Linked DNA regions of Anolis sagrei. The protein of the gene in region 2 interacts with the protein of the main gene of each other region in a pairwise test. Links are inferred from orthologs where the notes say so. Each region holds a gene or a part of one and is shown on either strand. Other genes may lie near its edges.

What was found.
Region 1: the proteins of AKAP7 (region 2) and SPA17 interact in a two-hybrid assay, tested with the Homo sapiens proteins (3 studies listed by BioGRID and IntAct). The two-hybrid records come from large-scale screens. The link is inferred for Anolis sagrei from reciprocal best matches to the Homo sapiens genes AKAP7 and SPA17.

Annotation. Positions count from the first base shown.
Region 1 is NC_090027.1:18,390,881-18,407,187, forward strand, and holds the start of SPA17 (sperm surface protein Sp17), read right to left. Parts: upstream 8,027-16,307; 5' UTR 7,900-8,026; intron 6,194-7,899; exon of another isoform or gene 6,189-6,193; 5' UTR 6,163-6,188; coding exon 6,009-6,162; intron 812-6,008; coding exon 741-811; intron 1-740. Other genes in the region: SIAE (sialate O-acetylesterase), read left to right, coding at 11,952-12,006, 15,584-15,745. UniProt on the Homo sapiens protein: Sperm surface zona pellucida binding protein. Helps to bind spermatozoa to the zona pellucida with high affinity. Might function in binding zona pellucida and carbohydrates.
Region 2 is NC_090021.1:82,609,405-82,625,678, forward strand, and holds the start of AKAP7 (A-kinase anchoring protein 7), read right to left. Parts: upstream 7,675-16,274; 5' UTR 7,613-7,674; coding exon 7,378-7,612; intron 1-7,377. UniProt on the Homo sapiens protein: Probably targets cAMP-dependent protein kinase (PKA) to the cellular membrane or cytoskeletal structures.

The DNA.
Region 1 (16,307 bases), on a different chromosome or scaffold from region 2:
CCTCTGTGTATGTCTATATATGTTGTATGTCTAATTGGCATTGAATGTTTGCCATATATGTGTACATTGTAATCCGCCCTAAGTCCCCTGCGGGGTGAGAAGGTGGAATATAAATGCTGTAAATAAATAATAAATAATAGAGTAAAATAATAAATGTAATAATAAGAGTAAAATAATAAATGCAATAATAATCATAAATAGTGTAAAATAATAATGATGATAATAGGCTAACATACTGTAAATGTAATAATAATAGAGTAAAATAATACATGAAATAAATATAATACTAATAACAGAGTAAAATAATAAATAACCTTGACTCGAGTATAAGCCAAGGGGAGCTTTTTCAGCCTAAAAAGGGACCGAAAAACTAGGCTTATACTCGAGTATATACAGTAATTAGAAATGACAGGGAAGATTCTCAGTGCTACACTCCTGACTATTGCTTCTCCTAACACAGCATTGTTGCCACTGAAATTGTTTTCCATGCAGACCTTATTTCCTTTCCAATTTATATCTGCCTCCCATTCAAAGCTGCTAGTGACCGTATAGCGACAATAAAATAACTTATAGTGAGAAGACGGACATTCTCAATCCTATGACAATCCCTATGCACTCAGATATTTTTCTCATTGCTACCAGAAACCTTTTTTCAAGATCATTGCTGTCCTATGTCATGTTCAGTTTGTCAAGTCTGCAGAATAAAGGGAAGTAAATGCCCCCAGCTGAGTAATACTTACATTAAAAGCGTGATTGTTGTAGTATCTGTCATCTAGCTTTGCTCCCCATTCACTTGGGTCATATCCAGTTTCTGGAAAAAATATGTTTAAAAAATAACTACACATAAAAATAAAACCAGTTTCCTGATCAATATGTGTTTATTTAAAGTGGTAGTTGCAACAAAATACACTTAGGGAACTAACATTTCTCAGTGAAAGTCCAGCTTTAAGGGCCATGGGCCCTCCATTTCCTGTGCAGGATAACAAACCCAAGTAATAGCCTACAAGTGAAAGGAGGAAGCAAAGGCAAGACTCTCTGTGGCATTAAATAGCCAGGACATATTAAAAATCACATACTCATTTCAATAATAATAATAATAATCATCATCATCATCATCATCATCATCTTTATTTATACCCTGCCACCATCTCCCCGATGGGGACTCAGAGCGGCGTACATGAGGCCAAGCCCAAATGACAATTACAATAAAGAAAAACCAAAAACACAAACCGAAAACGCAAACAATCTATATAAATAAAAATGTAATGTTTGTTTGTGGAATTAACAGAACTCAAAAACCACTGGACAAAATGAGACCAAATTTGGACACAAGACACCTAACAACCCAATGCATGTCCTTCACTCAAAAAAATTAATTTTGTCATTTGGGAGTTGTAGTTGCTGGGATTTATAGTTCACCTACAATCAAAGAGCATTCTGAACCCCACCAACCATGGTATGGAACCAAACTTGGCACACAGTTCTCCCATGAACAACAGAAAATACTGGAAGGGTTTGGTGGGCAGTGCCCTTTGGTTTTGGAGTTGTAGTTCACCTATATCCCGAGATCACTGTGGACGCAAACAATGATGAATCTGGATCAAACACTACACGAATACTCAATATGCCCAAATGTGAACACTGGTGGAGTTTGGGGAAAATAGAATCTTGACATTTGGGAGTTGTAGTTGCTGGGATTTATAGTTCACCTACAATCACATAACATTCTGAACCCCACCAATGATAGAATTGGGCCAAACCTCCCACACAGGACCTCCATGTGGGCCACAGCAACGCGTGGCAGGGGACGGCTAGTAAACAATAACATCATAGTTACAAAGGAATTAGCAGAAGAAACAAAAGGCAGGGATGGGCAGACTCCAAGTTTGTGAGATATCCTAATTCAGTAAAATTCTTCACCAAAACAAAAGGATAATAAAGATGTATTGTCGAAGGCTTTCATGGCTGGAATCACTAGGTTCTTGTAGGTTTTTTCAGGCTATATGGCCATGTTTTAGAGGCATTTCTCCTTGGAGGAGAGAAATGCCTCTAGAACATGGCCATATAGCCCGAAAAAACTACAAGAACCTAATAAAGATGCAATATGATTTTATTTTTTTTATTTTTTTCGTGCCAGGAGCAACCTGAGAAACTACAAGTCGCTTTTGGTGTGAGATAATTGGCCATCTGCAAGGACGTTCCTCGGGGGACGCCTGGATGTTTGCTGTTTTACCATCCTTGTAGGGGTCTTCTCTCATGCCCCCACACGGGGAGCTGGAGCTGACAGAGGGAGCTCAACCTGCTCTCCTTGGATTTGAACCACGGTCAGCAGTTCTGCCTTTAAAATGATTAACTGCTGTAGTGAAAAAAGTCAAGAGAAGACGGAATCCCATTTAAGATCACGTCTTTACCTGTTTCCTGTTCTTAAAATGTTACAATAGCCTACAAAAACCTTTTTTTTTTCTATTCCACACAGACTTATGCCCCACTAGTACTTGCTGGCCTCTTTTTAAAATTATGTATATGTGTGTGCACACATGCAGGGGAACAATTCGTCCTAGCACTGGAAATATTCCTGCCCTGCTTTTTTAAAAAATCTGCACACTGTTCTTAAATGGCATAATATATGCTCAGGCTTCAAAATTTGGATTTCAGGGCAAGAAGAATTTATTTTGGTGCCGAATTCATAGAACTCTGTTATGTAAGAGCTGCTACTGTGCCCTATGCAATTAAAATCATTCGCTTCGATGTCAATCTGCTTAGCAACATCTTCACATAACAAAAACCAAAATAAATCTGAAGGTCTGTTAAACCAAGGAGGGGCAGAAGCAATTTTACTCCCAGCAAAAAGAAGTAGATTTCCACCTACAGCAGGCAGAGCTGATTGACTCAGTTGGGAAAATGGGAAAAAAATGTTTATACTGTATGTTATACAGAGAAATGCTCTCTTGCATTTCCCAATAATTTGCATATTGCATACTACCATTCTCTAGGAGCCTCTACTATACATTTCAAACCACCTAAAAAACAGCGAAGCCATGTTGAGCTGCCTATTAAGAAAATAACTTCTGTTTGAGTAAAGCCAAAATGATGTAATAATTACCATATATACTCGAGTATAAGCCGACCTGAACATAAGCCGAGGCACCTAATTTTAGGAGGACGAAAAGGCGAGGAAGGTCCACGGTGCTTGAATGAAGGACCTTCCTTCTCTACCTACCCTTCTTCCCTCCCTTTCCTTTCTTTCCTTTTCTTCTTTCCTTCTCCTTCCTTTCCTTCTTTCCCTCCTTCCCTTCCTTCCTGTCCCTCCTCCCTTTTTTCCTTTCCTTCTTTTCCTTCCTCCCTCCCTCCCTTTCCACCTTCTTTCCCTTTCTTCATTTCCTTCCCCTTCATTTCCTTCCTGCCCTCCTTTCTTTCCCTCCTTCCTTCCTCCCTCCTTCCTTCCTCCTTCCTTCCTTCTCCTTCTTTCCTTCTCCTTCCTCCCTCCCTCCCTTCCTGTCCCTCCTTCTTTCTTTTCCTTCCTTCCCTTCTTTCCCTCCCTCCCTTCCTTTTTCCTCCCTTCCTTCCTGTCCCTCCTTCCTTCCTGTCTTTCTATGTAAGATATAAATACAATATTAAATGCAAGGGACAGTCAAGAAGTAACGAGAGTAGGAGGGAAAGAAGGAAGGAAGGAGGGAGAGAAGGAGGGAGGGAAAGAAGGAAAGAAAGAAAGATAGATAGATAGAGAAGCAAGGAAAAAGAGAAGGAAATAAAAAGTGAAAGGAAAAAGAGAGAGAAGGAAGGAGAGAAGGAATGAAAGATAGGGAGGGAGGGAGGGAAGGAAGGAAGGAAGGATGGATGTAACCAAAGAGCAAAGAAAGGGAGAAAAGAAACAGGTAGAGATGGAAGAAAGATGAGAGATAGGGAAAGAAAAAGAGGAAAGGGAGGAAAGAGGGAAGGGAGGAGAGAAAGAGGGAGGGAAGGTTGGCCACAGCAACGCGTGGTGGGTACAGCTAGTATTTACATAAAACTGTAATGGAAGACTGTCCAGCTCGGATGAAACCATTATTCTAGCCTCCTTCAATGTACATGTGCTTACGTATCTTTCCAATAATAATAAAGAGAGCAAAATAATAAATTTAATAACAATAATAGAGTAAAATAATAAATGTAATCAGAGTAAAATAATAAATGTAATGAAAATAATAGGGTAAAATAATGTAAATGTAATAATATCAACAATAATAGAGTAAATAATAAATGTAATAAAAATAATAATAGAGTAAATAATAAATGTAATAAAATAATAATAGAGTAATAACATAAATATAATAAAAATACTAATAACAGAGTAAAATAATAAATAACCTTGGCTCAAGTATAAGCTGAGGGGAGCTTTTTCAGTCTAAAAAAAAGAGCTGAAAAACTAGACTTATACTCGAGTATATACAGTAGATTGTTTGCCTAAGACTTGGGGGACCTGAGCTCAATTGTCCTCTCACCTATGAAACTATCTTAGTTGACTTGTGCCAGTCACCAATTCTCATCCTGGCTTATTTATTTATTCAGAAAGGACCAAAGCAGTGACATCTCCAGCTCATCCCCTGTTTGCGTATCAGCCAGCACATCAACGACTTAAATCAAGAAATAGTTTTCTAAGTTCTACAGAGACACTCACTGGAACACCTCAGCAAGCGAGAGTCCAAAAATGGCAGGCTCAAACCCAGAACCTCAATCAATGGCTGATACCAAATGAGAGACTCCCCCCTGAGCACAGAGAAAACTGGGCGACTTGGTAGGCGCTGAACAGACTGCGCTCTAGCACCACGAGATGCAGAGCTGACCTTAAGAAATGGGGCTACAAAGTGGAATCCACCACATGCGAGTGTGGAGAAGAGCAAACCACAGACCACCTGCTGCAATGCAACCTGAGTTCTGCCACATGCACAATGGAGGACCTTCTTATAGACCAGAGGCACTCCAAGTGGCCAGCTACTGGTCAAAGGGCATTTAATCAACTACCAAGCTTGCAAACTTTCTTTGTTTGTTTGTTTAAAAATGCAGTACAATTGTTTGGCTTGTTCCTTACATGATAAATGAATAAATAAATATTCATTTATTTTATTTCGTACCAAAAGCACTGCATAAATTAGTATAAAACTGATAAAATAGGAGCGCAGGCGGCTAAGTATCTTTTGACCAAAAACAGGCAACAGCAATGGCATTGTCTGTAGCCTCCGACAATTCTTCCTCTGTACATGAGGCAGGGCATAGTGGACAAGCATACAGGTGCGGACTTATGCAACAGTATTATTATGACAATACAATGAGAAGTGATGAGAAGAATATTTGGTACCTCATCCTAAGTCGTTGACATGCTGGCTAAGTGTGTTTAAGGCAATATGGTCCTTGTGTTTAAGGCAATGTGGTCCTTGAATCTCTAAACAGATAAAAAGATGCTATGTACCTGGAAGGAAAGCCTATACATTCCAAAGGGATTTACTTCTAATAAAAATGATAAGATTAAACTGACCCAGTATTATCCCATGATTGACATCAGGTCAAATTATATCATCTTCAAATACTGACTGCTCACCAGTTGATGTTGTTTGGCTAGTCTCCACAATTATGAGAGTCCCAAACTTTTGTAAACAAAATGAGAATGGGACTTTTAAAGATACCAGATTTTATAGCAGGCAGCAGACTGTGTCTTTTACTGTATAGCTGGGATAATCAAGTGCCTTTCAGACCACAGTCTTTTGCACACTTTACATGGCAGACTAAGCCCCAGTACAGGCATGGGCAAACTTTGGCCCTCCGGGTGTTTTTGACTCCAACTCCCACAATTCTTAACAACCAATAGTCCAAAATACCTGCAGGGCTAAAGTTTGCCCATGCCTATCCTAGTGACATACTTCTGAGTAAATGTACATAGATATAGACTGTAGGAGTCTTTCTTAGGTCTGGCTGAAGATTCACATATATTAATTTCATGAAATGCTTGAGAAGCTAACTCAGTTGAGGCTCACTTTCTCTTTCGATGAGAAGAGTTTCAAAGTACTTGGCTGCAAAGCTTGGTATATCTTCAGGTTGGCTCCTCAAGACTTCCCTGGCCAGGCCTTCGAGCAGATTCGCAAACCCTGGAGGAATGCGTTGCGTGGTATTGGAGAATGGAATCGCCATTGCCGCTCAGGAGGTTTCCGTCTCACCTGCACTTCATTTATAAGACCAATGGAAGAGACATAATTTGAAAATTGGGAGTATTAGTTATTTATTTACCACTTTATCTCTTTATTTATTTATTTTCCGCCATTATCAAGACATAGAATCTTGATATAATATATGTGCTTGGGTAACTGTACCCCTGGAGCCAAGACTAGGCTGTGACTACTGACCTTAACTGAAAACTGACTGAAAGCCAAAACCAAGGTTACAACAACATCTGTTATAGAACTCCAGTATGCTGATGACAATGTCGTCTGTGTGCATTCAGAAGAAGATCTACAAGCCACTCTAAACACCTTCACAGAAGCCTACACAAAGCTTGGCCTGTCACTGAACATCGAGAAAACCAAAGTGCTGTTCCAGCAGTCACCAGCCAACCCCTCCCCAATGCCAGAGATACAACTTAATGGTGTAACATTAGAAAATGTTGACCATTTCTGCCACCTTGGCAGCCACCTCTCCACCAAAGTCAACATCGACACCGAAATACAACACCGCCTGAGCTCTGCGAGTGCAGCATTTTCCCGAATGAAGCAGAGAGTGTTTGAGGACCGGGACATCCGTAGGGATACCAAGGTGCTTGTCTATAAAGCTATTGTACTCCCAACCCTGCTCTATGCCTGCGAAACGTGGACTGTCTACAGACGTCACATACAACTCCTGGAACGATTCCATCAGCAATGCCTCCGGAAAATCCTGCAAATATCTTGGGAAGACAAGCGGACAAACGTCAGCGTGCTGGAAGAAGCAAAGACCACCAGCATTGAAGCGATGGTCCTCCGCCATCAACTCCACTGGACCGGCCACGTTGTCTGGATGCCTGACCACTGTCTCCCAAAGCAGTTGCTCTACTCTGAACTTAGGAACGGAAAACTGAATGTTGGTGGGCAGGAAAAGAGATTTAAAGATGGTCTCAAAGCCAACTTTAAAATCTCTGGCATAGACACTGAGAACTGGGAAGCCCTGGCCCTTGAGCACTCCAGCTGGAGGTCAGCTGTGACCAGCAGTGCTACAGAATTCGAGGAGGCACGAGTGGAGGATGAAAGAGAGAAATGTGCCAGGAGGAAGGCGCGTCAAGCCAACTCTGACCAGGACCGCCTTCCACCTGGAAACCGATGCCCTCACTGTGGGAGAAGATGCGGAACAAGAATAGGGCTCCACAGCCACCTACGAATCCACAAGGAATCCCATCATGGAAGACCATCTTACTCGTCCAACGAGGGATCGCCTAAGTAAGTAAGTAAGTAAGTAAGTAATATTACATGTAATATAAATATATTATATTATTATTATTAGTATTATTTTGCTAATATAAATAAATATAAATATTATATATAATATAAATAAAATATAATATAATATAAATCCCACAATATCTGCTTTGAACTGGGTTATCTGAGTCCACACTGCCATATAACCCAGTTCAAAGCAGACAATGTGGGATTGTATATAGCTGTGTGGAAGGGGCCTTGGATCTGTTATGGCTCAGTGCTGAGAGGGGACTAGCTTCAGTTTAGCAAGGCCTTCTCTGCAAAGTGGCACCAAACTGCGTTAATTCCACGGTGTGGACGCGCCCATGCCCGACCAGAGCGCAGGCCAGGCTTGAGCTCTTCCAGTGGGAAAGGGATGCTGAACCAACCCTTGGTTTCCCAACCCGGCCCGCCGGCGACAAGCATCACCCCGGCCTCGCTTTACCTCTTCAGCGTGGAATGGAAGGGACGGGGAGGGAGCCCGGCCTTTGTTGTCGGTTGTCTAGGCAACGCCGACGGCGACGGGAAAGGGACAAAACTCTTCGTTCCCAATTAAAGCCTTTCCCCTCGCCAACCTATTGGCCGAAGCCCCCGCCATTCAATGACGCCCGCCCAATCAGGAAGCCGCTTAGCTTTTTGTCCCCGCCCGCCTTGAATCCTTGGCCTTCGGGGACTCTGAGGGTGGGAGGGAGGAAAAGACGACGTCATAGAAGGCCAGCAGTGACGTCAGACCCGGCGTATGACGTCATCGCTGGCTTTTTATGGCGTTGCACAGTGCTAAGCACAAACTGACAGACTAAGCCAGTCCAGTGGGGCGCATCTATGATAATATTGTGTGGCAGAGGCTCCTTCTTTGGAAGCTTTTAAACAGAGGCTGGATGGCCATCTGTCAGGGGTGCTTTGAATTCAATATTCTTGCTTCTTGGCAGAATGGGGTTGGACTGGATGGCCCATGAGGTCTCTTCCAACTCTTTGATTCTATAATTATCTATGATGATATTATTAGTATTATATTGCTAATATAAATAAATATAAATATATTAAATATATATAAATATAAATAAAATAAATATAATATAATATAAATACCACAATATCTGCTTTGAACCGGATATAATGATCTATGATGATATTAATCTATAATGGAATGTGTCCAGATGAGGGTAAAATGCTCAAGGGTCTGGAGAACAAGCCCCATGAGGAGCAGCTTAAAGAACTGGGCATGTTTAGCCTAAAGAAGAGAAGGCTGAGAAGAGACATGAGGGACATGTATAAATATGTGAGGGGAAGTTATAGGGAGGAAGGAGCAAGCTTGTTTTCTGCCAACCTCGAGACAGGATGCGGAACAATGGCTTCAAACAACAAGAAAGGAGATTCCATCTGAACTTCCTGACTGTGAGAGCCGTTCAGCAGTGGAACTCTCTGCCCCAGAGTGTGGTGGGCGCTAGTTCTTTGTAGGCTTTTAAACAGAGACTGGATGGTCATCTGTCGGGGGTGCTTTGAATGCAATATTCCTGCTTCTTGGCAGAATGGGGTTGGATTGGATGGCCCATGAGGTCTCTTCCAACTCTAGGATTCTATAATTATCTATGGTGATATTAATCTATAATATTATATATGCTTCAGGTTCAGGTAGTGGTTCTCAACCTGTGGGTTCCCAGGTGTTTTAGCTTACAACTCCCAGAAATCCCAGCCAATTTACCAGCCCTTAGGATTTTTGGGAGTTGAAGGCCAAAACATATTGTTTTAATTGTTATTATATTGCTGTGTTATATGTAGTGGCATCGAATTGCTGCCAAAATGTAAGCCATCCTGAGTCCCCCTTTGGGGGTCGAGAAGGAACAGGATAGAAATATTGGAAATAAATAATCTATATAAATAAAAATGTAACGTTCGTTTGTGGGATTAACATAACTAAAAAAATACTGGACGAATTGACACGAAATTTGGACACAAGACACCTAACAGACCAACGAGTGTCCATCCCCCCTAAATACACACACACAAAAACTCCAGCGGGACAGACTTAAAAACCCAAAAAATACACCATATATACATATACACATACACTCATATACATATACACATGCACACATTCATACACACACGTATATATATATGCACAAACACAAATATACACATATACACATATACACACATACATATAATAATAATAATAATAATAATAATAATAATAATAATAAAATAATAATAATAATAATAATTAATTAATACCCCGCTCCATCTCCCCCAAGGGAGATTTGCATGAGGCCACGTCCATCACTACAATACACAACAAAATAACACAAGAACATAATAAAACCAAAAAATAAAATACACGAAATGCAAAACAATGTAATAAGCAACACAACAATATAAAATCAGACATTAAAACGCAGAAGATTTCGCTGGGCACACATACATATATACATATACACATGCACATACATATACACATGCACATACATATACACATGTGTGCACACATATACACACAAATATATGCATACATATATCATACACATGCACATACATATACACATGAATACACATGCCTACACAAAAATATACACAATATGCATGTCCACTAAAATTCACACACATATATATAAAATTCACATACATATATATACACACATATAACCCCACATATATACATAGAAACACACATATATACACAAATACACACACATAAACACATATATCTTTTTTTAATAATCATCTTTATTGAAAAACAGATTTTTTTCCATTTTGTGCAGAGAAAAAATAGTGCAAAGAATAGTGCAAAAACAAATAAGAAAAGAAAAAATAGGGAAAAGGCAAATAGGCAGATACAAGAAGAAAAGCAAAAAAGAAAAAAATAGAGCTAAAAATAGGAGCAGATTGTTATGGCTCCTTTGTTGACTTCCTGAGTATCTTTCTGGTGGTTTTTCCTCTTCTTTCTTTCTTCTCATTCTTCAGTCTTGTTTTCTCTTCCCTTCATGTTATTGTGTATCCATTTCTCTGTTTTAGGTAGTTTGTTACCTTTGTCCAGTCGGTCTCTTTTATTGGGGTCCCTTTATTTTTTGTTATTAAATATGTTAACCTGTCCATGTTTTTGATATCTATCACTTTTTCTATCCAGTCGCTAATTTCTGGTATGTCTTCTTTTTTCCATAGTTTCGCATAACAAATTCTCGTTGCTGTATTTAACAGAAAGAGGATTTTATCTGTATTCTTCTCTATTTCTTGGTCTGTTATTCCTAATAGGAATATTTCTGGTTCAAATGGAATTCTTATATTTAGTAGGCTTGGGCAATCCATGGTTCTAAATGGTTCTAAAGTACTTACAAAACTAAAGTTCTGGTGGTGAAAATTTCAGAACTCTAACAAAACTTTCAAAATTTAATTATTATTTCATTATTGGTGATTTTAATAACAGAACCAATTAGGAACTGCCATTCATTATGAAATTTTGAGAGTTTTGTTAGAGTTCTGAAATTTTCGCCACCAGAACTTTAGTTTTGTAAGTACTTTAGAACCATTTAGAACCATGGATTGCCCAAGCCTAATATTTAGTATTTCCTGTAGTGTCTTCTGTGTTTTTCTGTAATATATCTTGGCCTTGGTACACGACCACCACATATGGAAACACATATATCCACGCACAAAACACATATACACAGATTGGGCCACAGCAACGTGTGGCAAGGGACGGCTAGTAAATAAATAAATAGACTCCAGTTCAAAGTAGATAATCACTATGTAACAAAAATTGATCCCCCCCCCACCCTATTCCAGATTTGAAAGTGTTATTTCTTGTTTCATTGTGCAGTATTTACTCTGAAAGTATTTGTTATGCTCCAGACACTTTGTTTTTGCGCCTGCCACAAACTAACTTAAATTGGGTGAGACAATTGGACTTCATCACTAGAGCATGGATCCAGTTGTGGCCTCTTGCAGAATTCTGGGGCTTGTAGTTTAGTGAGGTGCCTTTAAACTGCCCTAAACTACAAACCCCAGAATTCTGCAGGAGGCAGAAACTGGATTCAAAGAGGATCCATGCTCTGGAGCAGGCAAGAGTAAACTTGGGGGCTCTAGATGTTTTGGATTCCAACTCCCATCATTCCTAACAGTCTCAGGCCCCTTCCTTTTCCCCCTCAGCCGCTTAAGCGGCTGAGGAATGTTAGGAATGATGGGAGTTGGAATCCAAAACACCTGGAGGGAGGGCTGCAGTTTGCCCATACCTGCTGTAGGCAGTGATTGCCAGTCTCTCGCCCTGGACTTCATTTCCCAGAAGCCTCCGCTGCTGTGGCCAATGAAAAGGGCTCCTGGGAGCTGAAGTCCAAAGAGCAGACCTTGCCCGGAGCGTGCCCTTCTGCCTGCTTCCTTCCCTCCGGGCTTGCTCTGGCCCAGTGTGAGGTCACACAAGGCGACTCCTCCCTCCCAGCCGCGCGTCAGCCCTCGGAGGAGCGCCCCAGGCTCTTGGAAGCAAGCGTTGGCTGGCTCGAGAGGTCCATGGCGTCCCCGCGGCTCTTCCTCGCCCCCGTTCTGCTCTTCGCTTGGAGCGCAGGTAAGGCCAGAGCGACTGCGCATGTGCGGCCGGCGCCCCCATAGAGCCCAATGCTAGGAAGGTTGGACTCCATCTCCCAGAATCCCCGGTAGCTCACCAAACCGGCTGGGGCTTCTGGGAGTTGAAGTCTTCAAAATCTAGAAGACCAAGCTTTGGGTGCCACTGATTGAGTGAATGCCATTGGAGACCATTGGAAGCTGCCATGGCTCCAGGCAGAGGTGGCCCTAGGTAATTTTCAATGGTAAGCGAACAGTATTTTGGCGCACCCCCCCCCCCCCCCAACCAATCATTGATATATATATTCTGTTCGTTGTGGGAGTTCTGTGTGCCATATTTGGTTCAATTCCTTCATTGGTGGAGTTCAGAATGCTCTTTGATTTTAGGTGAACTATACATCCCAGTAACTACACTTGCCGCACTTGCTCCCTTGCCTGGCCTGCTTTGGGTCCGGAGGCGTGCCTGAAGACCCCGGCGTGTGCACCAAAAGTCACCTCTTCTCCTGACTTTCTCCTCAGCCATTGGGACCGAGAGAGAGAGAGAGAGGTGGAGATGCCCACCTTTCCTGAAGGTAGGCGCAAAAACAAAGGAGGGAGCGGAGGTGGGAGATACCTCCAGCCGGAGGAGCTCTCTCTCTCTCTCTCTCTCTCTCTTGGTCCCAATGGCTGAAGAGAAAATCAGGAGAAGAGGCAACTTTTGGTGCGCACATTGGGGTCTTCAGACACGCCTCCGGACCCAAAGCGGGCCAGGCGCGGCGGCTCCGCTTCTTGGCCCACCCACGGATTGGGGAGAGGAGAGGAGGTGGGTGGAGCGCTGGGGGATCAGGAAAGGGAGCCGGTCATGGGGAAGGGATCGAACGTGGAGAACAATTGAGCACCGGCTCTGCTCGCGCACCCAGTGGCCGGGTGGAGCAGGAACGAGAGGGGCTAGGCGAGGCTCAAGGGCCCGGCCTCTTTGGGAAGAGGATCGCCCGGCAGTGAGGCAAGAAAGCCAAGGCTCCCCCCGGACTGCTAGGGCTGTTGTGAGCTGAGGGGGCGCTCCTCAAGTGGCGGTCGAGGGGCATTTACAGAGGCACCTCTGCACCCCTGGCAAAAAAAAGTGTTCTGCGACCGCTTACTTCGCGTAATGGATGAGCCACCTCTGGCTCCAGGCAATGAAATCCTTAAAGCTGTCATTTTTGCAAGGTGTTGGCTAGTGCCTCACCAAACTACAACTCCCAGGATTTCATAACCTTGAGCCATGGCTGTTAAAATGCTGCCAGGCTGCATTATTTTATGTAAGAGGCAAGGTGCAATGCTCACATTGACCCCTGGAGAAATCGACCCAGATTTTTGAGTTGACTCAAATGTCTCTAGACTTATACATGAGCATATAGGACAATGTGTCTGATGATATTTTGCATTATACAGGCCGTCCCCAAGATATGAACAAGATCAGTTCTGTAGGTTTTTCCAGCTGAATTTGTATGTAATTTGGAGCAGGTACATTTTAAGTGTAATACTAGCCATCTTCTATCTATATATAAATGCTCTATGCATAATGAGTACCTTAAAAACAAAAGAATCGATGAACGAAATCACACCAAATTTGGCAACAAAACATCTCACTACACAAGGGTGACCATCACTCAAAAATTATGATTTTGTCATTTGGGAGTTGTAGTTTCTGGGATTTATTGTTCATCTACAATCAAAGAGCATTCTGAACTCCTCCAACGATGGAATTGGACCAAACTTGGCACACAGGACTCCCACAACCAACAGAAAATACTAGAAGGGTTTGGTAGGCATTGACCTTGGGTTTTGGAGTTGTAGTTCACCTACATCCAGAGAGCACTGTGGACTCAAACAATGATGGATCTGGACCAAACTTGGCACGAATATTCCATATGCCCAAATATAAACACAGATGGAGTTTGGGGAAAATAGACCTTGACATTTGGGAGTTGTAGTTACTGGGATTTATAGTTCACCTATAATCAAAGAGCATTTGAACCCCACAAACGACAGAATTGGGGCAAACTTCCCACATAGAACCCCCACGACCAACAGAAAATACTTAAGGCTATTCAGTCCAACTCCCTTCACCAGGGCAAGAAAATGTAATCAAAGCCCCTCCTGACAAAGAGCCATCCAGCTATATAGATATAAATAGATATATATGATCCACACACACACAGATATAGTATCATAGACTTGAAAGGGACCCTTAAAGAAGGATAATGATATGTTGCATGTTCCAGGGTGGGCAAACCAGACACTCTCCACATCAACACTGACAAAGAAAGAACAAGAAATACTGTTTACCCACAAGCATCAAGAAATTACGCATATTAGAAACCAACACTTTCTCATTAATTTTCCAGATCACCAGACTGGGCCACAGCAACGCATGGCAGGGGATGGCTAGTCTATCTATATTATTATAAAATATAATTATAATGTATTGTCGAAGACTTTCATGGCTGGAATCACTGGGTTGTTGCAGGTTTTTTCCAGCTATATGGCCATGTTCTAGAGACATTCTCTCCTGACGTTTCGCCTGCAGCTATGGCAAGCATCCTCAGAGGCAGTGAGGTCTGTTGGAACTAGGAAAATGGGTTTATATATCTGTGGAATGACCAGGGTGGGACAAAGAACTCTTATCTGTTGGAGCTAGGCGTGAATGTTTCAACTGACCACCTTGATTAGCATTTGATGGCCTGGCAGTGCCTGGGGCAATCTTTTGTTGTGAGGTGATTAGATTCTTTCCTCTCTACTGTTTTGCTGTTGTATTTTTTTTAATACTGGTAGCCAGATCCACCCAGAGGAAAAGTGTTCTTGCCATACATCAAGGGAACCACTGACCGCATGGGGAAACTGATGAGGAAACACAACATACAAACTATCTACAGACCCACCAAGAAAATCCAACAAATGCTACGTTCAGCAAAGGACAAGAGGGATCCTCTCACCTCTGCAAGAGTCTACCGTGTACCAAGCAGCTGTGGACAAGTCTACATAGGGACCACCAAACGCAGCATTGCCCAAACACGAATCAAGGAACATGAAAAGCACTGCAGACTACTTCAACCAGAGAAATCAGCCATAGCAGAGCACCTGATGAACCAACCTGGACACAGCATATTATTTGAGAACACAGAAATGCTGGACCACTCTCACAACCACCATGTCAGACTACACAGAGAAGTCATTGAAATCCACAAGCATGTGGACAATTTCAACAGAAAGGAGGAAACCATGAAAATGAACAACATTTGGATACCAGTATTAAAAAAAACTCTAAAATTACAACAGCAAAACAACAGAGAGTAAACGATCTGGGACATCTAATCACCTCTCAAGAAAAGATTGCCTCAGGCACTGCCAGGCCATCAAATGCTAATCAAGGTGGTCAGTTGAAACATTCACACCTAGGGAACGGTTAACACCCTGTGAGGAACGGTTAACACCCTGTGAGGTTTCCTTTGCTGTCTGTGCCCCTGTTCAGAAGATTTCACCTCACTTTCTGTCCCTGTGAAAATTGGATTTTGAAGAAATGTGACTTAATAGGGACTTTTGTACCTTTTCATGCCTTCCAGGTACCCAGCTTCGCTTTGCAAACTATTATGGGGATCACATGGTGCTGCAGAAGGAACCCAGCTGTGCAATCGTCTGGGGCTATGGGACTCCCGGGGCCGACATTACCGTGACTGTTTCCCAGGAGCAGAACTTTACGATGAAAGAAATTGCAGAAGTGCGCGGTAATCAAAGAAAAGATATGACTCTGTTTTCCACCCTTTCAATTGCACATTTCTCTAAAGCAGGCATGGGCAAACTTCGGCCCTCCCGGTGTTTTGGACTTCAACTCCCACAATTCCTAACAGCCTACCGGCTGTTAGGAATTGTGGGAGTTGAAGTCCAAAACACCGGGAGGGCCGAAGTTTGCCCATGCCTGCTTTAGAGACTGATAACATTATTAGTTCAGTAACTCTTGTTCCAGAATCTCTGATCACTAGCCATTGTTTAGTTCTTGGAGCCAAGGTCCAAAACAATCAAGGACCAAAGTTAAGACCAATTGCTTAATTATCAACCAGCAGAGTGCAAAGAACTAAGAAAAAAAGGAAGCATAATAGTAATAAGTAACAAATATTACTACTACTATGTAACATGATTTTTGTTCCTGGATTATGAATGTTATTTCCTAATTGGTTCCATCATAAAAACATGGGAAAAGTTTATTAAACTGCAAAAAAACTTTGTTTTTCTCAGATATAGTGCATAATGGTTTGCTCTAGTTTTTTATGACTATCTCATCGGATCTCA
Region 2 (16,274 bases):
GCAGGTTTTTACCTAATAATTTGTAGTAGTAGAGGCAAATGAAACAAGGATTGCCTCAAGGAAAATTATCCAGCGATGAAATAAACAAGCTAGTCACACTGTTGGGCTGGTTGTGGGTTAACCCTTTGTATATGTTGTTCTTTGTAGACCAAAAGCAATAACTTCCATACATTATTGATGATTATGTGATTATCTACTGACCCATAATCTAAACTGGGTTTAGCAGCTCCATTATAAGTCAGTTATTAAGACTTGGGCTCTTATGCATAAACCATTTAAGTAAGTCAACACAGTACGCAACACGGTACACTTAGAACTGGGCTGTAACCTGGATTCCCAAGCACATACCTTTCACTTTTCACATTAAAGCACACAATTGCAGCTTTGGTCCAACAGAGACAGGGCTACAGGAGTTATACCATTTACATTAGAGCAAACAGAAAACAGCCTAAATCTAATTTCTAATCCCAGTAACAGTTAGATCCATAGAAACAACTGCTGAATGATGTCAACACTTATGTAAATCCCACAGATTCAGTGGATTTAGTCTAGCTGCAACTAGAAATTAGATTAAGGCCCAAGAGCCAGGATTACTGTATTATATTTCCTATTTATACAGTATGAAAACACTTTGACGGTAGGTTTGTATGTTTTCCAGAAGACTTGGCATCACATGCTCTTCTTGCACTTTGAGGGGAAATTTAATAAGTGTAGTGTCTACTCTACACAGAACAATCCTGCAGTGGCTGTGTACATCAAATGCACTTAGCTAGAGCCCAACACATCATACCACTGAGTTCAATCAAGCTTTCTTCTCAGAAATCCAACCGTGTCTACCTGGTAACATAATGTAATTCACTCAGCAGAGTGAATTTTTTCCTGCAGGCACTAATGATTGCTCAGGAGATTTGAGGAACATCTAATGCTGATATTGGAAGCAGGTAGGAGGCTAAAAGGTGAGAGAAGAAAATGGAAAAAGCCCACTGAACCTAGTGTATAGATTTGTTCAGCAATATACAACTTCTTTTCTGAACTCTTTGCACTGTCAATGCAATGACCAGAAACAATGCCATTTTTGGTATATTTGAATCTACCAGTATGAAGTACTTCATTATTCAAACGAACAACTGCAGATTGACCCCATATTTGTTCAGTACCCATAAGTACTGAAGAAATGCTAGATGTTCAAGAGGAATATGAGTAGCTCAAGATCATATTGGAAACATGCATTGGTTAATAGAATGCATTAAAGAATTTCTGAAGAAAATCAGCCAGCCTTTATAGATTATGGTTAAGAAAACAGACACGAAGAAATGTGATGTTGGGAAGACAATTGTACAGATACCATGGAATGCAAAAAATCAAACAAAAACAGGCAAATCAAGACTGAGCTTTCACTGGAAGCCAAAATGACTTAATTGAAGCCATATGAAGAATTATTACTTATGGGAAAGGACAATAGTGCTTGGTAAAGTTGCAGGCACTAGGAAAAAAAGGAAAGCAATGGATTGATTCAATCCATCAACGAAATCATAGTTCTTAACTACAAGTCCTGAGCATAGCTATTAATAAGAGGATCTGGAATCCTGTTAGGTATTTATGTCATTGTAACCTGTGATCATGTGAAGTCAATTTGTGACACTGAGCAATGTTCATATAGTGAGCAGAGAGCTGGATTTAAGATCATGAAGTTCATTGGGTAGCACTGGATAGGTCACTTTCAGATAAGTCATTCTCAAATAGATATCTTTTATAACTGTTGAAAGGGTGCAGTGTAAGAAAATAATAACAATATTATCTCTCCCACACACACACACATGGCAATTTTATGCCAACCAAAGAGAGGACAAGAATCACAAATGTAATAACATTGTGTGTGAAAGTGAATCATCAATAATTACATGAACATTCAAAAGAGAATTAGTAGACAGTTAACATAATAGATTGTAATGGAACATCCTCATTCTTTTATGCTAATTATATGTAGCAAATGAATTTCCAGAGTCCTCTTTCCTCCTGCTGCCTTGTGAAAGGGTACTGCATTATAAGTATTATCACAAGAACCATACCCACAAGTTGAGTAAGTTTACTCAGGGTGCATCTACATTGTAGAGTTAATGCAGTTTGACACCACTGTAACTGTCATGGTTCAGTGCTGTGGACTCGTGGGAGCTCCACTTTTACAGGTCTTAAGCCTTCTCTTCCAAATAGCACTGCTGCTTTACCAAATTACAACTCCCAAGGTTCCAGAGCATTGAGCCATGGCCATTAAAGTGGTGTCAAATTGCATTGATTTTACAGACTACCTGTTGATTTACTTCCATTTAATATTGCTATTACAGTTCATATTTCTAGTGTCAAGCTCTAGATCTAAAATCAATTCAGCCTGTTTTGTTTAAAACTAGGAGATCTTGACCAGGTCAGCTTTTGAATGGTCGAGTCATGAACAATCCTATGTAAGCCATTTTGAGTTCCATTAAAAGTCTGACAGGTGCATTTAGAGAGGAAGGATGACAACCCATGCTCTTTTATCTAACCCAACAACATGGGGCTACCTTTATAAACTCTTTCCAAGGTCCAAAATGCTGCAGTCAAAGTCTTGACCATGGCTGGATAGCAGAAGTCGTGCCTCAATCAAAAAAGAGTGGGTATATCTTGCAATGCCCTTTACAGTTGGGTTTAAGTTAACTGGTGACTGCAACTCCCTAAATGCACCTGTCAAACCTTTAAGTCTTTTCCTTAGTCCTGGGATACCCATAGGGTTTTCTTAATGATACTCCGAGTTCGAATGAATGGTTTATTGTGCTAGCCATAGGCCATGACATAAAAGTACAATAAGCACTTTCCAATATAAATATTAAAACTTTACTGGCCCTTTAAAATGATAAATGATAACAATTACAAATGTCTGGTTTGTATTATTCCAAGAGGAAGCAGATACATAAATGGCAACTGGATGGCCACCCAACAGAACAATGTCACAGCTTTAAATACCTGGGCATCTACTTCTCATATAATGGTAACTGGAAGAGTCATATAGAGGCAGTCAAACTATCTGCCTGGAGGTCAGAAAAATCAATTCTAACCTTTGGGAAAACAAAGGGGGGGGGGTTGCTTGGTATGTCCCACAATTAAAATATTTGCTGCTACTCCGAGTTTGTGAAATTCCCTTCCAGAGAATACCAAGCTGGCGGAGGGGGAAAATATATTCTATTATTATTATGTTTTATAATGTTTATTAATATCCCACTTTTTCTCTGCATATGGAGACTCAAAGCGGCTCATAACTAAAGCATTGCAATACAACTTAAAATATACAAATATGTCAAGATTTGTTCAGAGGAGATTTGGCATTGCATTTGTCTGAAGCTAAAAGTATGTGGCTTGTCCAAGGTCACCCAATGGGTTTCCATGACTGAACAGGAATTTAAACCCTAGTCTCCAAATTCCTAATCCAATGCCCATGATGGCGCTCTTTCATTCCAAGAGCAAAGGCAAGCTTTTGGCAATTAACTATCTGCTGAATGTTAAACTTTTAATAGGAGTACTACACTTCTCGTTTGCCGGCACGCCTTTTATTTTGAAAATGCAGTTGCTTCAATATTTTTAATGCTCATGTTTAATATTATAACATTTTCAGTTGTCTCTCTTTTTAAATCATGTTATGAGCTTCCTTGGGCTTTATGTTGTAAATTTATATTGGAGTCAGTATTCAGATAAAGGTGGGAGATAAATAAAGGAATACTGGACATTAAAAACCTTTGGGTAAAGACTGCTGTATATAATAGATCTTGTACTATAAGGAACAAATTTCTGAGAAGTGCTTCTCTTTGACACAACTGTAGGTATCGATGTACTCCGTTATTGCTTGATTCACATTCTCCATAAGGGGCATAACCGATCCAAGATTTGTTTAGGTCATTTAGTCCCAGAGGCGATTTGTACATATGAGTGCATCTACGCTGTAGCACTCTTTGGCAGGGAAAGCTAATGGCCTTGTAAAACTCCAACAACCACAAATTCCACAGAATTGAGCCATGGCAGTTAAAGTGCTGTAAAACTGCACTTATTCCACAATGGAGGAGCACCATCAGTTTTCCATGGCATCGGTCTAATGACTGCACATACTAAAGCTGATTTTACATGGATGCGACATACACCAACTTGTTTACCAGCAATGGGAAGGAAGAGAAACTCATACATGTTGAGTATCCCTTGCCCATAATTCCAAAATACTCTACAATTGCCTAGATGGGTGGCTGAGAGAGCGACATCTTTGGGTTGCTGTGAGTTTTCCGGGCTGTATGGCCATGTTCCAAAAGCATTTCTACTGACATTTCACCCACATCTATGGCAGGCATCCTCAGAGGTTGTGAGGCCTGTTGGAAACTATGCAAGTGAGATTTATATATCTGTGGAATGTCCAGGGTGGGAGAAAGAACTCCTGTCTGTTTGAGGCAGGCTTTGAAGCTGCAAGTCTATTCAATGTAGTGTTGAAGGCTTTCATGGCTGGAATCACTGAGTTGCTGTAAGTCTTTCGGGCTGTATGGCCATGTTCCAGAAGCATTCTCTCCTGACGTTTTGACTGCATCTATGGCAGGGATCCTCAGAGGTTGTGAGGCTGATCAAGTTGGCCAATACACACTTGCCTTAAGCAGGCAAGAGTTCTTTCTACCACCCTGGACCTTCCACAGATATATAAACCTTCCTTGCCTAGTTTCCAACTGACCCCACAATCTCTGAGGAAGCCTGCCATAGATGTGGGTGAAACTTCAGGAGAGAATGCCATACAGCCTGGAAAACTCACAGCAACCCAGTGATTCTAGCCATGAAAACTTTCGACAACACATTGGCATCTTTGCTTTCTAAGCTTCTATGTACACACACTTTTCATGTGACAAATTATTTGAAATATGTATTTTATACATATTTGAAATATGTATAAAATGACCTTCATATCATGTGTATAGGTTGCCTATTATTCTTCTCTAGAGCACTGGTTCTCAACCGGTTGGTCCCCAGATGTTTTGCCCTTCTACTCCCAGAAATCCTAACAGCTGGTAAACTGGCTCGGAATTCTAGGAGTAGTAGGCCAAAAACACCTGGGAACCCCAGGTTGAGAACCACTGCTCTAAAGGAAAGAGGGGTGCATCCATACTGTAGAAATAGTGCAGATTGACACCACTTTCACTGCCATGGCTCAATGCTAGGCAATCTTACCAATTGTATTTATTTATTTATTTATTTATGACATTTATATACCGCCCTTCTCACCCCAAAGGGGACTCAGAGTGGCTTACAAGATATATATACAATATATTATTAGCATAATACAATATCAGTATTATATATTACTATACTGTACTACACCATTATATTGTAATATTATTAGTAATGTTACATGTAATATAAAATATATAATTATAATATTGTATTATTATTATTAGTATTAGAATCATAGAAATCATAGAATCATTGAGTTGGAAGAGACCACAAGGGCCATCCAGTCCAACCTCCTGCCAAGAAGCAGGAAAATCAAATTCAAGGCACTCCCGACAGATGGCCATCCAGCCTCTGCTTAAAAGCTTCCAAAGAAGAAGCCTCCATCACACTCTGGGGCAGAGAGTTCCACTGCTGAATGGCTCTCACAGTCAAGAAGTTCTTCCTAATTTTCAGATGGATCTCCTCTCTTGTAGTTTGAAGCCATTGTTCCGCATCCTAGTCTCCAGGGCAGCAGAAAACAAGCTTGCTCCCTCCTCCCAATGACTTCCTCTCACACATTTATACATAGCTATCATGTATACTATTGACCATTCAAAGTACAGATTGCCTCCATAATCTAGTCTGGAGTAATCCAACTGTCAGCTGTCAGGCATGCAAAGCACATAGTTTGGTTCTAACCATGGGCTCATCTATACCGATTGCTTAATTGCAGGACCAATCCAAAGCAGAAATGCTGGACTGTCACCTAACCATCCCCCATTACTGCTGTCAGATATCTGGAGTGCTCCTAGCCATTGCAGATGTCTTCATGCAGACATCAACAAATGTGGCCATGGAGAAAGCAAGAGTGAGTGTTCCCTGATTTTTTTTATTCAACATTTACTAGAAGAGTGGGGGGACAAGGGAAACCCAGCTCTTTAAGCTGCTCCTCATAGGGCTTGTTCTCCAGACCCTTAATCATTTTAGATGCCCTCCTCTGGACACATTCCAGCTTGTCAATATCTCTCTTGAATTGTGGTGCCCAGAACTGGACACAATATTCCAAGTGTGGTGTAACCAAGACAGAACAGAGGGGTAGCGTGACTTCCCTGGATCTAGACACTATACTCCTATTTATGCAGGCCAAAATCCCATTGTTGGCTTATTTTTAACTTGTTGTCCATGAGGGCTCCAAGATCTTTTTCACACGTACTGCTCTCAAGCCAGGCACCCCCCCCCCCCCCATTCTGTATCTTTGCATTTCATTTTTTCTGCCTAAGTGGAGTATCGTGCATTTGTCACTGTTGAACTTTATTTTATTAGCTTTGGCTCATCTCTCTAATCTGTTAAAATCGTTTTGTATTCTACTGTCTTCTGGAGTATTGGCTATCCCTCCCAATTTGGTGTCGTCTGCAAATTTGATGATCATGCCTTCTAAGCCAGGGGTCCTCAAACTAAGGCCTGGGGGCCGGATATGGCCCCCCAAGGGCATTTACCCTAAGTCTGAAACAACCTGAAATCACACAACAATGGCATCTCATCAGCCAAAAGCAGGCCCACACTTCCCACTGAAATACTAATAAGTTTATATTTGTTAAAATTGTTCTTTATTTTAATTATTGTATTGTTTTAAAGTGTTTTTACACTACAAACAAGATATGTGCAGTGTGTATAGAAATCCATTCATGTTTTTTTCAAATTATAATCCGGTCCTCCAACAGTTTGAGGGACTGCGACCTGGCCCTCTGCTTGAAAAGTTTGAGGATCCCTGTTCCAAGCCTTCATCTAAGTCATTAACAAAGATGTTGAATAGGACCGGGCCCTTGTTTTATTGTAGTTTTACTGTTTGGCAGAAAAGGCGTGTAAAACTACAACTGACAGGATTCCATAGCCTCAAACCAAGGCAGTGAAAGGGGTGTCAAACTGCATCAATTCCACAGCAATTCCCAAAGGCTAGTCCTTTGGGTTGTTTTGGACTTCAACTCCCAGAATCCTCAGCTGTAGGAGTCAACGAGCAGGGACTCTGGGAGTTGAAGTCCAAAACACAAGGAAGGCCAGGCTTTGGGAAAAACTGAGCCAGATCTGGGTTTCAAGGTCCTTTCTTCCTCTCCCTCCACCGCCCTTTCTTTGGGGGACGAATAAGGGGGCTGTCCGCGTTCTCCTCTCTCTCCTCACCGGTCTGCCCGCTGGTCGCAGGCAGGACAGGCGGCTCCTCCTCTCCCGCTTCGCCCTCCATCGCCAGCCTCTGAGGTTCCGCCAATAGAAGGCAGCGTTCTCGGAACGCCCTACAGCTGGCCGTTCCTCGCCCGGCCGCCAGGGGCGCTGGTGAGCAAAGGGGGATCCGGCGACCAATAGGCGGAGCGGCGAGGCAGGAGGCGCGCAGGGTTCGGAGCAACAAACGCAGCGCCATAGCTAGGGAAGCTGCTCCTGCTACGGGGCGCCGGAAGGGCCAAGAAAGAGATTTAGAAACGCGTCCTTGTGGAATGGCCGCTGTGGGGGAACTACGGATCCCATGATGCAATGCAAGTGGTGGGGCCGTGTGCAAAACCGACTCCTTTCAAATTCCCCCGCCCTTCCTCGCAGGAATACCGAAATGCGGACCTTCTCCCCAAATAGATCAATCCTTTAAAGATGTGACATCCCCCACAGCTGTTATTTGCTCAAGAGTATTGGTTTAAATACTGTATTTTAAAAATATTTTAGATTTAATCCGTTTTGTTCTTTGTTCTTCACACCTGGAATACTGGGTCCAATTCTGGGCACCACAATTGAAAGGAGGTATTGATAAGCTGGAATGTGTCCAGAGGGCGACTAAACTGATCAAAGTCCAGAAGAACAAGCCCTATGAGGAGCGGCTTAAAGAGCTGGGCATGTTTAGCCTGAAGAGAAGACTGAGAGGAGACATGATGACCATGTGTAAATATATGACGGGAAGGCATAGAGAGAAGGGAGCAAACTTGTTTTCTGCTGCCCTGACTAGGACGCAAAACAATGGCTTCAAACTACAAGAAAGGAGATTCCATCTGAACATGAGGAAGAACTTGACTGTGAGAGCCGTTCAGTAGTGGAACTCTCTGCCCCAGAGTGTGGTGGAGGCTCCTTCTTTGGAAGCTTTTAAACAGAAGCTAGATGGCCATCTGTCAGGGGTGCTTTGAATGTAATTTTCCTGCTTGGCGGGGGTTGGACTGGATGGCCCATGAGGTCTCTTCCAACTCTTTGATTCTATGATTCTATTCTATCTGAGACTGATAAGGATAAAATCCTATTGTCTCTTCCAACTCTATGATTCTAAGATGTATATATCTTTAATCAGAACTACAAATTTAATATTGAATCACAATTTGATCTGGGGTGTTGTGGTCACAGGGTTGCAAACCCCACTTTTTGTCTTCCAGGGATAAACTACACCAGGCCTGGGCAAACTTGGACCCTCCCTCCAGGTGTTTTGGACTTCAACTCCCACAATTCCTAACAGCTTCAGGCCCTTTCTGCTTAAGGGAAAAGGATCTGAGGCTGTTAGGAATTGTGGGAATTGAAGTCCAAAACACCTGGAGGGAGGGCCCAAGTTCGCCCATGCCTGATCTACACTATAGAGTTAATACAGTTTGATACCACTTTAACTGCTATGATTCAGTGCTTTAGCATCCTGGAATTGTAGTTTCACAAGGTCTTTCGCCTTCTCCGCCAAAGGGCGTTGGTGCCTCACCAGACTACAAATCCCAGGATCCATTGCATTGAACCCTGGCAGTTAAAAGTGGTGTCAAACTGCATCAATTCTATAGTGCAGATGTGCATGTATTATTTATTATTTATTTACAGTATTTATATTCTGCCCTTCTCACCCCACAGGGGACTCAGGGCGGATCACAATGCACACATTCATGGCAAACATTCAGTGCCATAGACACGCTACATATATAGACAGAGACACAGGCTATTTAACTTTCCAGCTTCATGAGTGTATGCTTTTTGAATTCTGGCCACCGGAGGAGCTGTCGCTTCACCATCCACTTGTGACACCAATGGAGTACTTCCACATTTTTGCAAGCTGCTGGAGAGTTTTATGGCATCTTAAATTAGTTAAATTAGCCTCCCCGCATAAGCTGTACCTAGATTTCCTACTTGACAGATGCAACTGTCTTTCAGGCTGCAAAGGTCAACAGCAAGCTAGACAAATGGCCAGAAACTCACTCCAGCTAAGGCTGGCTTCGAACTCATGACCTCTCAGTCAGTAGTAATTTTAATACAGCTGACTCCCAAACAGCTGCACCCGCATTGGTTCTGGGGAGCTGGGTTGCAGCTGCTCTCTCTCTCTCTCTGAATAGTACAGCCTTTGTTGACACTGAGCCTAAGCCTAAATAGCTCACGTTGTCCAGCTTTCTGCATTTTCTGTGTGGGCAATCATTTTGCCCCCATAAAAGGGTAAAGGTTTTCCCCTGACATTAACTCAAGTTGTGTCCAACTCGGGGGGGGGGGGGGGGAGGGGTGGTGGTGCTTATCTCAATTTCTAAGCCGAAGAGCCAGCATTGTCTGTAGACGCCTCCTAGGTCATGTGGCCATGACTGCATGGAGCACTGTTATCTTCCCACAGAAGGCAAGTAGAAGTGAGTAGAAGGTATTGATCTACTCACATTTGCATGTTTTCAAACTGGCAGAAGCTGGGCCTAACAGCAGGAGCTCACCCTGCTCCCTGGATTTGAACCACCAACCTTTCAGTCAGCAAGTTCAGCAACTCAGCCATTTAACCTGCTGCACCTCATACTGCCCTCATACTACAGTATTAATAAAACTGACAATACATCTGGTAACAATATTAGAAACCTAAGTTGGAAGGGAAGGAGTTAATAAGATACTGGAAAGAGGCTGAACTGTACAGATGGAACCAATTAAGAGTTTCTGCAAAGGATGTTCTCTCCAGGGAGAGAGAAAAAAACCTTAGAGAAAGGAGGAGCTATTTTTCCAGAAGTGCAAAACTTTCAGTCACAAGGAAATGAGGTGGAAATTAGAGTGATTTAATCCGTTTTGTACACACAAAGCAGATGAAATCAGCAGTTACACAAAGATAGCCCCTAGATTGTTTTTAACATGGCCATTTTGAAGGGTTCTTTCTATTATTTTGAATTGAGAGACCTTCACAGCGTTGCAGTTACATTCCATTCCATCTTATGCATTTGTGTCGCTGTAACTCTTTAAATTGTTAAAATTAATTTAGTTTGGATTACAGTCGGACCATTGGTATCCACAGAGTTTGGTTCCAGGACCCCAAGATCTATGAATGTGTGTTCCATCACATTCAATGATGTAGTAAATGGTGTTCCTTATATACAATGGCAAAAACAAGGATTTTTTCCCCTTATTTTCTTTGAATATTTTCACGCTGTGGATATTTATTTATTGATTTAGTTACAGTATTTTTATTCCGCCCTTCTCACCCCACAGGGGACCTTGGGCGGATTACAATGCACACATACATGACAAACATTCAATGCCATTTTGACATACAACATATATAGACAGACACAGAGGCCATTTAACATTCCAGCTTTTCTGGCTTCATGAGGGTATGCTCGATTCCGGCCACAGGGGGAAGCTGTCGCTTCACCATCCACTTGTGACACCGGGTCCTTTGATGGAGTACTTCCTCATTCTCCTGCATGCTGCTGGAAGGTTTTATGGCATCGTAACTTAGTTAACTTAGCCTCCCTGCATACAACGGTACCTAAATTTACTACTTTAGGTAGTAAAACTGGCCGGCTCAGTTTTTAATAATGTCTTGTTGTACTACTATTGTTATTGTTCTTGCTTAACTGTTTTATTTGCTAGGTACTGTATTGTTATATTGTGTGGGCTTTGGCCTGTTGTAAGCCGCATAGAATCCCTTGGGAGATGCTAGCGGGGTACAAATAAAATAATAATAATAATAATAATAATAATAATAATAATAATAATAATAATACTTGACAGGTGCAATTTTCTTTTGGGCTGCATAGGTCAACAGTAAGCTAGACTATTAATGGTCGGGAGCTTACTCCGACCCGGGCTGGCTTTGAAATCATGACCTTTCTGTCAGTAGTGTTTTAATGCACCTGGCTACTAACTAGCTACGCCACAGCCTGGTACGTTGAATTCATGAATGCTGAATCTATGGATACGAAGCTTCAACAGAACGCATACTTCTTCCGTTCAACTAAATGGGCTGCAGGGTTTTTAAATATATGCTTGATTTGAGATGAGGATTATATCTTTCAGAACAAATGGAACAGGTTTGTTATCTAGCTTCAAAACAGGTGTTCTGCTACAGAATGTTGTAAGACCAGTTGGACCTTGAAGCTGTCTAGAACTTTTAAGGGCCAAAGCAGATGAAGATTAATATTTACAGTGAACATTAAAGGTTCCACTTTTTACATAATTACATATTGAAAGTAGGTCGGCTTCTATTCTGTATCATTTGGCCGGAGGAACTAAGGGTTTCCACTTTTTTTGCCCAGGTTCCAATTACGTGTTTCAATAGAAGCCTGAAGCTTCTGCCGCAATTGGCAGTCCCTCATGTGACCTAAAACTTGTTCTAGAGGGATGAAAAACCCTCTGGGGAAGATTGTTGGCACCAGATTTTTGGATATAAAACTATCCCATCAGATCATGGTTTTTGTTAAGCATCTAATGCTTGACATGGTTTCGGGTGAAACAAAAATGAAAAATCCAACAATCACATGGGTGCGAAAAAGTACTGAGTGACAGATCACTATAGTTTGTTTTGCACACTCTACAACAGAACGACGTGTCTGTCGGGTTTATATTTGTGGCACTTTGATCACTTGAAACCCAGAAATTGATTTGTCAGGTGCAGGACACAGCGTTGTTTGCCAGCCTGGTGTGAAGACAGAAAATGTACTTTGTGTGGGTAGTGCCAGCGAGCGCTCAACCTTTGTAGTACATTTTGGCACAGGTGTTGTTGGGAGCGGTAATCACAAGAGAAACTGGAATGCCTGGATTTAAGCTGGTGGAAAGGAGAAACTGGTGGAAAGGAGAAAGCCTTCTGATATTAATACAAACTGTAAACAAAGGACAAAGAAGGGCACGTCGTTCTAGAGGTGGTGGCAATCTATAGGTTAAAGAAGATATAGAATACAGGCCGGAATGACACAGATAAAGTTACAATAAGTTATACATATGTATGATGTTGCTGATGAAAGTGATAAGCAAATTTCATTTCAGTGTAAGGAGAGTTGCTAGAAATCAAGATTCATTAGAAGCTAAAGAACAAACATTAGGCTGGATGAATGTCAGATCTGCAGTTGGATAGTTATACAGAAAATACCAACATTTTGAAACTGTGAGATTACTCTCAGATAATTGGGTATAGAATAGGGCCCTAAGGCTGCCAACTAGTAATAAGCTTAATTGAGTGCAGTGAGACTGCTATCTGGATAACCATGCATGGGCCTGTTCTGTCAAAATTAACTGGCGGTTATAGAGAAATCCGATGCATGTTTTGAAAGGGAAGTCTCACTGTATTTGTACATATTGCTCCATAATAAATGTATTTAGAGATGCAGCCTCAGTATTAATTCATAAAATTTACTCTACAATGAAATGTTTCAGTGCAGACTACAAGCTCTGCTCTGGTGGTTGCAGAATAATCAGTGATATATGTGCTTGGCCTTGCACTTGCATTATGTATGGTATGTGCGTTGATTTCTGGGACAAAATACTTTTTTATTATGGGATCTATTTTTCACAATTTTTAGTGGCCCATGACGAGGCAGTATGAAGGGAGTTGCTGGGTAAGCTGGGTGAAAGGTAGTCAATTACAGCTTTGGGAATGCTCTGAAGGTAAGCTGTAGGTGAAAAGAATGTAAGAAGAACATAGCAGTCTCTGAAAAGCAGACAAGGTGTGAGAGCAGACAGAGTCAAGATGACAATTTCAGCAAGATAAAGCAGTTAGGAAGGAGAACTGGCTCTGGTATTGAAGGGACCATGTAAGAGAATAATTCTCAAGAGTTAATCTGTTATGTTACTGATTTTAATACATATTAGTTGTTAGTTTTTTCTTTAAAACCTTTATCTGGATGTCTCTACCAAGACTAAGGAATGAGACCACACCTACCATAAAGAATCCACATAACAAAATGGATCTCACCCTTGAATTAGGCCTTAGGTCAGGATCCCGCTTGGTATGTATACAATAATAAACACATCCCCTAAGTAAGTATAAGATGAAGCTTTAGCTGAAGCACTATTAAAATTGGGATTTTTAAGAAGATATAACAAACAGGTAAAATTGTACTGGTTGTATGCCTTCAAGTCACTATGGTGACCCTCAGGCAAACTGAACATGTGGTTTTGTTACAAGATCTGTTCACAAGGGACGTGCTATTGTCTTTTCAGAGGCTAAGAGAATGTGACTTGCTCAAGATCACCAACTGGGTTTCTGTGATACATATGGTGGTCTCCTAAATCATTACCCCATGTTCACTTTCTTGAGGACAAGCTAGCAAAAGTATTCATTGAGATCTTTTCCATTCCATAGTATGTGGAATGTGGATGCACTGTTTGATTGTTTTCTCTTCTACTACAGATAGTTCCTTTGCTCCTATGGGTCAATTTCACATCCTACAGAGTGGAAAGACAATGAAGTCTATTGTCTTATTTTTCAGAGCAAATCATCTTATCTTTGTTTGGAAAGAAGGTGTGGTGATGCATTAAATTATATTGGAGAGGCGCATGACTTTTCAGATATGTAATCGCCTCTGAGCTGGAGCTTTTGTGTTTGCTTAAGACGCTTGATCGTTTTCACAGTGCTCTGTGAAAGATCCAAGACACAAAGTATACTGCCAGACCAGGCCTTAGTGGGTTCCAAGCAGTATTTGCTAGCAGAGGCATGGCAAGGTTTATTATGCCTCCAAGCACAGTGTGCATAACTTATACTTTTCTAAACGCAGGCTTTGACATAGTTCCAGAATGCCACATTGCGTTGCTCTATGAAGGCAGCATGAAACAGGAAACTAGTTAAAAGGGGATGTCTGCAGCACTTTTGCCAAAGAAAACCTATCTCTAAGTAAAAGGATGCAAGTTGGAGAGAAACATTGTCGGAAGCTGTTCACCAAAGAGGATGTCATGGAATGTCTCAAGGGGCGGGGGATACGTTTCAATGCATGGGGTGGGAGGTGGGGTGGGGAGAGAGCCTCATACTCCCAGCAGCATATATAACAAGTCTGTGGGATTTGGAGCCAGAATGAAAAGCCATTTGGATGGAACTGGTCCAATATCTTGACTATGTTGAAAGTAATCTTCAGATTCAAATGGTTGTACTGAGAAAACATGTTGAGCAAGTCGTTAAAAAAGAATATCAACAACAAACAGACAATGTCAGCTTAATGTGAACACTGTGCAGTCATTTCCTTTCTGACCAAGAGACTAGATTTTGCATTTTTGTGCATGGAGGCTCGATTCACCCCCTCAACAACAAAAATCAACACGACTTTATTGACTTCATTGGGAGGGGTTTTTTCCAAGTGAAGAATGCAGAATCGGATCCAAGCGTTATGCTGTTCCAGATGGAAGAAATGGCTATTTACAGATCGTGTAAAACCATTGTTTCAAGACTAAACCACTGGATTCAAACCTCTTAAAGTAGCTGCCGTAACTTCAATTTTGGTAAAATCCTGTGCTCTCAGCATTCCCGTTTTGGTTTGCTTTTGCATTTCTCTGTCTTTTCTCTGTCACCATGTCATTTCTGACTTTTCTTCCACTTCATGCCTCTTCACTTTTGCTTCTTTCTGTTCAAAATGCCAAACTGTGAATAACTATTGTATTATTCTTCCCATATTAACCCATTCTTTGAATGGAGATACTTTTGTAAAGAAAAAGGCATCTCTGACACCCAAGGGTGAGTTGTCTGCAGGCCTGGGGAACCCCAAGGTTTGCAGATGTACAAACATTCTAGGGAGAAAAGGGAGAGTTCAGGGAACATTGAGCGTATTCAATAGCTATATTGACTGAAAACAAATGCGATGAAATTGATTATTTTAGAAAAGGATACAGGAGCACTCCACACTGCAACTTTTTTTTTAAATTTCTATCTCTTTCCTCCCTTGACCTATTGTACACAATGTTACGTGCTTCTTTGTACATGAAGTACACAATAGCCGAGCTGATCAAGACCTGCTTCCTGCATGACTATGACAGCCACCTTGGCTATTGTTATTAGATTTGTCCTGCCACATTTATGGCATTGACTTCGGTGGATTTGATAATTCACGTATTTGATTGAAAGGTTATGATCTAGAGTCACAAGCTTACATTTTGTCTCATATGTTAAGAGAGCCTGGCAAGATCTTAATACAGGAAGGGACCAGTTCCCTACTTGGCCATGTTGAGGACCAAGAACAAAAAGCAATAAATGAGAGGCAAAACAATTTTAATTATTAGCATCATAATCTCTCAAGAAGCTAAGTATTGCTCTTGTGGAGTTTGTATTTTGTTATGTATTGCTGCAAGGGCTTGAATAGGTCTCTTAGATTTGAAGATACAATTTTTTTTCTTCCATAGGGGAAACTTTGACAAGGGGGAGCTAATGAACTAGGATTCTTTGAGGTTTTAACATCCAACAAATGTAAGCCTTTCATCTGGACATTAACTGACACATTTCACCTACGCAACACCTGTTTTTCCAGATGTAATAAGGACTTCTTGAGAAATTCAATGCTCTCTGCCTAGGGGGAGTTAGCCCCAGGAGTGAGACAACCTGGATCTCAAGGAAATTCTTTTTTGTTGTTGTTGTTGCTGCTAATGAGCTGAAATTCTACTGGATGTTGCATGCCTTTGAGTCATTTCCGACTTATGGCAACCTTATGGTGAGCATCACATGGTTTTCTAGGGCTGAGAATGTACGACTTGCCCATGGTCATGCTGCGGCTTTCTGTGGCCGAGGGAGGAATTGAACCATGGTCTCCAGAGCCATAGTCCAATGCTCACTGTACCACACTTCCATCTCCACCTATCTTTTAAAGCTCTTTTCCCAATGTACCTTCATGGCCAAGAGGGGGAGTGCCTCTCCCTGCATTGAAATC